Linked DNA regions of Stegostoma tigrinum. The protein of the gene in region 1 purifies or fractionates together with the protein of each later gene. This does not show direct contact. Links are inferred from orthologs where the notes say so. Each region holds a gene or a part of one and is shown on either strand. Other genes may lie near its edges.

Region 1 (3,749 bases):
TTTGATTTGTTAACGTGTTTACAAATTTATGATTCAAGCCCTTAGGGAATGAAGAACCAAGTTAGCAAGCGGGAGGGTATTTTTTGAGTTTAAAATATGGAGTCGGGCCCAGTGCGGTGTTCGTGCACTTTTTTTAAAAAAAGTAAAAGTCGATTTCCTTTCTCAGGAGACCTAGACGGCTCAGCAGCTTCGAATCTTCTAACTGTTCAACCTCTCTGCTACCACTAATAGTAAATATTATTCATCGCCTGTAGGTCGAAAGTTCGATAAACACCGTAAGATCGCTGAATTCACTGTTTTTGGAGGGGCACAGAACACCAGAGTATAAATAAGATTGAAGGATGATTACAATTGGGTCAATAAAGTCTGGGCTCCACCCCTTGCTCGCCCCGAACTCGATACAGTCAACACTGGCCCTGGAGCTTTTCATTGGTGGGTAGTGTTTTCACTCTTGAATTTGTGATAAGAACCAGGACGCTTCAAAATTCGCCGAATCCACGCGGCCCTTCGCGTTTAGGAGTTCGGTACCCAAAATACAGCAGTGGCTCCCCGGGGTGACTCAACTAGGGCATTCGGCTTCCTCTTTCTTTCCTGAAGGTTTCAGGTTGGAAGCTGGAAGGAACTGGATTCATTGCTGTCATTTAAGTTTCAGAGGAGCGGGAAACCCAGTGAGTGACTCCGAGCAGGAGGAAATCCAATATCCCCGGGTGACGCTGGGTGGATCCGTCTCTTCCCCGCGAGAGTGTGACAGCGGGCAGGTCTCTCTTTCTCCACCCCACCCCTTCCTCCAGGGTGAGATTAATTCCAGGGGGAAAGTCCTCGTTTGTCTTTCCCCGCGGGAGAGGGGGACTCCGGGCAGGACTCCTGCCCCAGTTCCCCAGGGTTGACTGATTCAGGTGAGGGTTATAGCAAGCAGGATTCCTCCTGGCTTCCTTCCTTCTCTGCCCCCCAAACCCCGACGAGGGTGACTCCACCGTTGGGCTCTCCACCGGAGAGAGTAATTCCGGGTGGGAATTCCCTGTCTCTTTGTTACAATCCCATTCCGCGCGTGAGGGAATCCCCGCCCCGTTATGTGAACCTCCATTGTGACGCATCCGAGGGGGGCAGGAGCCAATCAGCTCCTTATAGTACCAACCAATCAGGAATGGGAAGGCGGCGACAGTCGGTAGTTACCAATAGGAAGTACGAGGCGGGGCCAGTGATCTGGGGGCGGGGCTATACCGTGTTTACTGTGTGGGAGCGAGCCAGGAGGCCGCAGACCCCGGAGTCGCGGGGAGGAGGAGGAGGACGACGACAACGACGACTGGTTGCTGCCTGTGGATGTGCTAACCCATGGCAGTGGGGGCGGGTAGGAAGAGATTCGCTACCCAAGGAGAAGGTGGTGGTGGTGGTAGTGGTGTTTAACTGCCAGGGTGCACACAGTCGGGGAAGGTGGTGGTGGCGGCAGTATGGGGCCGGGAACGAATGAAACATCATACACCACCCCCGCCGCCCCCCCCCCCCTCCGGTCACCTCTCCCCGCCGCTTCTCTTCCTCATTGTCCGTCCCCGGGAGCTGAGGCCGGTGGAAGGCTGGTTCCACGACCCAGAAAGTTGCGACAGGCTTTTGTTACACATTCCGGGATCGGAGACACTCCCGCTGGGGGTGAGGGAGTGGAGAGGGTATGCGCGGGGAGAATGATGGAAGCGGCTCTCCAGCACGGGAGGAGTGTGGGGGTGTCTGAAGGCACAAGGGGAGGTGGAGCCTAATCCGATCAAGTCCCTCCCGTCCCCTCCCCTCCCCACAAAGCGGCTCCGAGAATCCGACACAACAAAATGGCCCGTAGACTGCGCAGCTTCCCTTCCGCCTCGCTCCCCTCTCCAGCTACACGAGAGCGGGCAGCCCCGCTCTCTCCGTGCCGCTACTCCCCACCGAGCAGATTATAAATAGTAAGCTGATGGCCAGAGAGAGTGAGAGCAACACCGCCCTCTCCTCACCTTCCCTCCCCGAGAAGAGGCAGCCCCGGTTTGGGGGGGCGGGGGTGGCTTCAGGAGCACGGTGTGTTTTTCTCCCCCTTCCCCAGGGGGATAGCGGGTGAAGTCGAACGTTGCCCCTGGCTCGCAGCAGCAGCCGCCCCAAACCCAGCCCTTCCCCAGGCTCAGGAAGCACTCGCCAAGGCCGGGGAGCTCTTCCCCCACCCCCTTCCTAAGCGCACACACATTCTCTCTCTCACTCACACTCACACACACACACACACACACACACACACACACACACTCCCCTCTTCACCCCCCTCCAAGTGAACGGACTCTTTCCTTCCTCCAGCCCGTACCCCTTGTGCAAAACAGAAGAAAAACCATTCAGAAAAGGAAAGCATCTACAAACAACACAGAGAATCGGAGGGTTCGCTCACCCACAAACTCCCAGCTGCTCTCCCTCCCCTCCGCTCTCACAGGCAAACCGAGAATGGATACACCCCCTCTCATTAACATAGGCCCCGGGGAGGGAGGGGACTGATAGAGCGTCACTGCTTTAAACTCAACCCCGCCAACAACTGTCTGACTCCGAGAGACTGAAGTTTCCTTCATCCCATCACCCTCAGCCCTCCCTACTCATCGGGGGCGGGGACCCTGCCTGGCCGCATTCGGGAGCTTCTTCCTTCCGATGCATTGCAGATGTCAATTTCAAGAAGAAATCTCAAAATCCGCCTCTCCACCGAACACAATGTTCACGGCCTCTTGTGGTCGTGTTAGGAAGCCCCGTCTCTAATTTGCGCACAGCATGCTCCCATCGGCTGCTAAGTGAGCCCCTGACCCATTCATGTCGGTGCTGCAGTCAATAACTGGCCCGTACCTACTGCAATGAGACTCGGTCGAACCCATAGTCGTTTGATTCGGACACATATGCTGTGCCTTTGAAGTAGACAAAATTCTACCAATGCAGGACAAATGAGCGTTTTCCACAATACATATGTTACAGAGATAGAAAGACAAAAATAGTCTGCTGTGCTGTGATAACAAGGTGTAGAGCTGGATGAACACAGCAGGCCGAGCAAAAAAGTTTTCATCTCGAATATCTGGGGAATACATGCATTGGAGGCAATTCAGAGAAAGTTTGCTTGACTGCTTCCGGGCATGACAGCATTAGTCTTCCAAGAATGGTGGGTCTTTTGGGCCGATACACATTTGAATTTGGAAGAATCTGATTTTACTGAAATATAAAATTCTGCAGATATGTTTTCTCTCATAGAGTCATTGAGAACTAGGGGACACAGTTTCAAAATAAGGAGTCTCCTGTTTAAGGCAGATGAGGAGGAATTTCTTGAGAGTCAATAGTGTGTGGGATTTTCTGTCAGTGTGTTAGGCAGACCTTTGATAGACAAGGGAGTTGAGAAAGCACAGGATTAGGATTGGAGTTGAGGTCACAATCAAGTCAGCCATGGTTTTATTTGACTAGTGGAGGAGGCTTGAAGGGCCAAATGGCCTGCTCTTGCTTCTATTTCATAAGATATTGGAGAACATCATTGTTCTTTGAAACAGTGATTGGATCACTGCCATCCAACTCAAAGCACAGACTGAGCCCTGATTTATTGCTACCCCTGATGGTGCAGCACTCCCTCAGTACTGCTTTTGAATGTCAGTGTGAGGTCCAGTTTCTGGAGTGAGACTGGTAACCATGCCCATCTGAAGCTGAAGTGTTACCCGCTTAAGTCACCTTGGAAAATGGCCCATTTCTACTCTGGATTTTGGGCACATATGTTAGTATGTAAT
Region 2 (3,749 bases), on another chromosome or scaffold:
GGAGGCGGGGACGAGCTGGGCTGGTTTTGGGATGCAGTGGGTGGAGGGGAGATTTTGAAGCTTATGAAGTCCACATTGATACCATTGGGCTGCAGGGTTCCCAAGCGGAATATGAGTTGCTGTTCCTGCAACCTTCAGGTGGCATCATTGTGGCACTGCAGGAGGCCCACGATGGACATGTCGTCTGAGGAAGGGGGGGGGGGGGAGAAGAGAGAGTTAAAATGGTTCGTGACTGGGAGGTGCAGTTGTTTATTGCAAACTGAGCAGAGGTGTTCAGCAAAGTGGTCCCCAAGCCTCCGCTTGGTTTCCCCAATGTAGAGGTAGCCACACCGGGTGCAGTGGATACAGTATACCACATTGGCAGATGTGCAGGTGAACATCTGCTAATATGGAAAGTCAATGGATTTTTAATGGGTTAGGGTTTCAGTTTGTCTACTCCATCATCCCCTGCATGGCTAATGGAGCACACGGCGATTCTTTTTTCCATCCAGCTTCGTCCTCAAAAGGAGGTGGTGCGGTGGCAAGGTGGCAGAATAGGCTACATGGAAGATCCATTTTTTAGTCCTGCAGCATACGTTTTCTAATGGGAAGGGCCATTGGGGTTCACTGGTATCTCTGGGTCAGAAGGAACAAATACCATTTGGAGCAAATACCAACTGCTCCAGAGGTACATCATAATATGACTGAACAGGTCAACTGGAAAATATCTAGCTGCAGGGTGAATAACCAGAGAACTTGCTGCTACTCACCAATTTCTTCCGCTTCTTCAGCTTAGTTGGTTTATTTTCCTTTTGTTTTTTCAGGAATTTCTTCTTCTTCTTTTTGGTACTTTCACTGTCTGAAATCTCTTCGTCCTCCTCTTCCACATCTTCTGCTGAAACAAGAAATGTGCAACTGTTTCAATTCGGCAGCATTAAACACCAAGGCCTTAAGTACTTAGAGGTTGCCATTCGGCTTAGAGCCTGCTCTGCCCTTCAACCAGATCACAGCCAATTAATGCAATTTTCTGAAGAAGGGTCCAGACCCGAAATGTCAGCTTTCCTGCTTCTGTGATGCTGCCCGGCCTGCTGTGTTCATCCAGCTCGGCACCCTGTTCTCTACTTAAGTGTTCTTTTAATATATGAATTATGCTTCGATAGAAAGCATCCAGGGATCAGCCAGCACTGGGGACCATTAGAAAACCAACGCAGCTGCTGCAGCGGTAGAATAGGGGCACACAGAAATTTTAAAAAAAATCAGGAATAACGGAAAAGCGTGGAGAAGGATGTACTGGGTTAAGGAAGAGAGGGTGAGGATGGTGAGTTCAGGGTCTTGGAACAGGAGCTGGCCATCGGGACATTCCAAGATATTCCACTGTTCAAAAAGTTACCGTTTGGCGGGGGAGAAGGTGTGTCTCAGCTCCACATGCCTCTGAGGCGGATCAGTTGGGGAGAGCAGATGCTGTACGTGGAGGAAGGCTGGTGTCGGGGCAGTGAAAGAGTTAAAGGGAGCCGCCGCCGAGCGAGAAAATGGCGGCCGCCGGCTTTGTTTTTTTTTGGGGGGGGCGCGAAAGGAGGAGAAAAGAAGGATAAATGGGCAACTAAACAAACTGGCAGCCGATCTTATTGTGGGGGGAGGAGGAAGAGGAAGACAGGGCAAACAACGAGCAATTGAGGATATCACAAAGATATAAATCGCACCTATGGTGAAGGGGGGGGGTTTATTACCTCAGATGAAAACATCCGTGGAGCTCACAAGAGGAGCACACAAAGAGAAAATTTAAAGTCCGCCCCGGGTGGGGGGGTATTTACACAGATATTGTCGAGGGTGGGGGTCGGAAAAAGGAAGGTTTGTTTCGCCGGGAGATCGTGCTTCTCTCTCTCTGTGTCTTGTCTGTCACTCGCCCCCTCGGCGGGTTGTTGTTGTAGCAGCAGCGTTTGATTGACAGGCGCGGCCGTTAGCACAAGGAGCGCGCGGCCCCCGGGGCTCGGGCTTCCACTTGCAGCAGGAGCCGCGTCTGAGGGCACAGGGAGCGGGAGGAGGAGTGAGGGTTTAAACGGCGCGAGAAAGAGAATGAACTTTACGGCCGCTGCAAGCCAACAATCCGGGGGGGGGGGGAACATTCCCAAAAGAAAAATAGCTTTAACGCGTGCAGCCGGCCAAACCGAAAGAAAAATAAAACGCCGGCGTCGGAGAGGACACCAACCAAATATTGAGAGATGAGAAAAAAAACACAAACGACTGCACGGGGAGGGGGGCTGTGGGTGTGGAAAAAAATAATTCGTGGGGGTGAAGGGAAGAGATGCCATATTGCCATTGCAGCCCTCCGCCCCTCGTGCATTCTACCCGAGCACTTAATGTCGAAAGGTTTTTGCAATTTTGGGGTTGGGAGAAAAATAGCTTTTAGAAGCGGCCCCGGGGAAAGCGGCGCGCGCGCTAACCTGCCGCTGGCGGGAAAAGCTGCAAACCGGCGCCGCTGCGTTCGTCCATGTCCTCCTCATCCTCCTCCTCTTCTGGGTGCCTCACTGGAGATGCCATGGCCTCAGGAATTTCGCCCACCCCTCCCTACTCACTCAATAAAAATATATTTCCTCACTCTCTTTCCTCTCCCCCCTTCCCTTTTCATATATGTACACAAAATAACGAAAGCTACGCCAGTCTTTCTTCGGGAACACCCCCCCCCCCCAACGGTTTCTATTTTTTCCCCTATACACACAAACAAAAGTTATCCTACAGACTTTTGTTTTTGTGTGAGGGTTTCCTGTAAAGATCAGATCTCTCTCCTTCGCTAGTTTTCAATTTAAAGACCCCCCCTTCCCTTTCTTAAGGAAAAAGTTCCAAGCTACTTAACCAAACCCCCTCAAAAATGTTTTAATATACAAGGGGAAGAAAAGATGGCGTCCAAAATATTTTCCACCCCCCCATTATGAAATTTGGTGGGGGGGGAATTTGAAGAGAAAAAAGGTGGAAAATTAATCAGTGCTCATGCTCAGATTGACGTCACCCCCTCCCGTTGCTATGGGCACCCTGCATCCCATAATAGCACCAGTTTAACTAGTTAGGACTGACTCACGTGGGTCTTTAACCAAGTAACCAGGGGATGTCCAGCAATTGCCATTTTTCAGTCAAGTTGGTGAGGGTGGTCAGCCTCCTTTTGGCCCTATTGCTCCTGATTCATTAACATCATGATAAACACCTTCAAGGTCAACTTTCAACTTATATTTTGGTCCTCTCTGCTCGGTCAAACATGAGCATCTTCCTTCTTCTTTTCATGCTCAAACATTTCCTACCCAGTTCGAAGAAAGATGCCCGCTTCTTTCCTCTCCTCAATGTCCCTGGGTCCTCACAGCAACTTGTTAAAAAAAATTGTCCCCTATCTCATCTCCAAAATTTTCCCGCGAACCAAAAGAAACAGCATTTTTTTTTAAAAAGTCCCACTGGCAATGTTATTTTCCACTTCAAACCTAAAAAAACTGATGGCCCCAATTTGTTGGACACTGTATTAAAGCAGCAGAAACAATATATTTGGTGCAACATTGCTCCCAAGGGATTCATGTCTGGTGGCTCAGTGAGTAGCACTCAGGCTGTGACTTTATATTCCCTTGGCAGAGATTTGAGCGCTACATTCTAGCCGACTTTCTCAGCGCTTCAGAGGAAGCACTGCCTCGTCAGAAGTACCATCTTTCAGATGTTATATTAAAATATGACACCGTCTACCTCTTCAGTGGGACGTAAAATATCCCATGACCTCTGTTTCAAAGAAGGGCAGG

Evidence for each region. The genes of interacting proteins can lie anywhere in the genome.
Region 2: the proteins of sin3aa (region 1) and chd3 purify together in Homo sapiens (affinity purification with western blotting; 3 studies listed by BioGRID, with this or other methods). This does not show direct contact. The link is inferred for Stegostoma tigrinum from reciprocal best matches to the Homo sapiens genes SIN3A and CHD3.

The regions. Positions count from the first base shown.
Region 1 is NC_081389.1:4,649,262-4,653,010, reverse strand, and holds the start of sin3aa (SIN3 transcription regulator family member Aa), read right to left. Parts: upstream 2,435-3,749; 5' UTR 2,393-2,434; intron 2,081-2,392; exon of another isoform or gene 1,977-2,080; intron 1,660-1,976; exon of another isoform or gene 1,513-1,659; intron 648-1,512; exon of another isoform or gene 350-647; intron 1-349. UniProt on the Homo sapiens protein: Acts as a transcriptional repressor. Corepressor for REST. Interacts with MXI1 to repress MYC responsive genes and antagonize MYC oncogenic activities. Also interacts with MXD1-MAX heterodimers to repress transcription by tethering SIN3A to DNA.
Region 2 is NC_081398.1:14,312,505-14,316,253, reverse strand, and holds the start of chd3 (chromodomain-helicase-DNA-binding protein 3), read right to left. Parts: upstream 2,957-3,749; 5' UTR 2,518-2,956; coding exon 2,421-2,517; intron 875-2,420; coding exon 750-874; intron 1-749.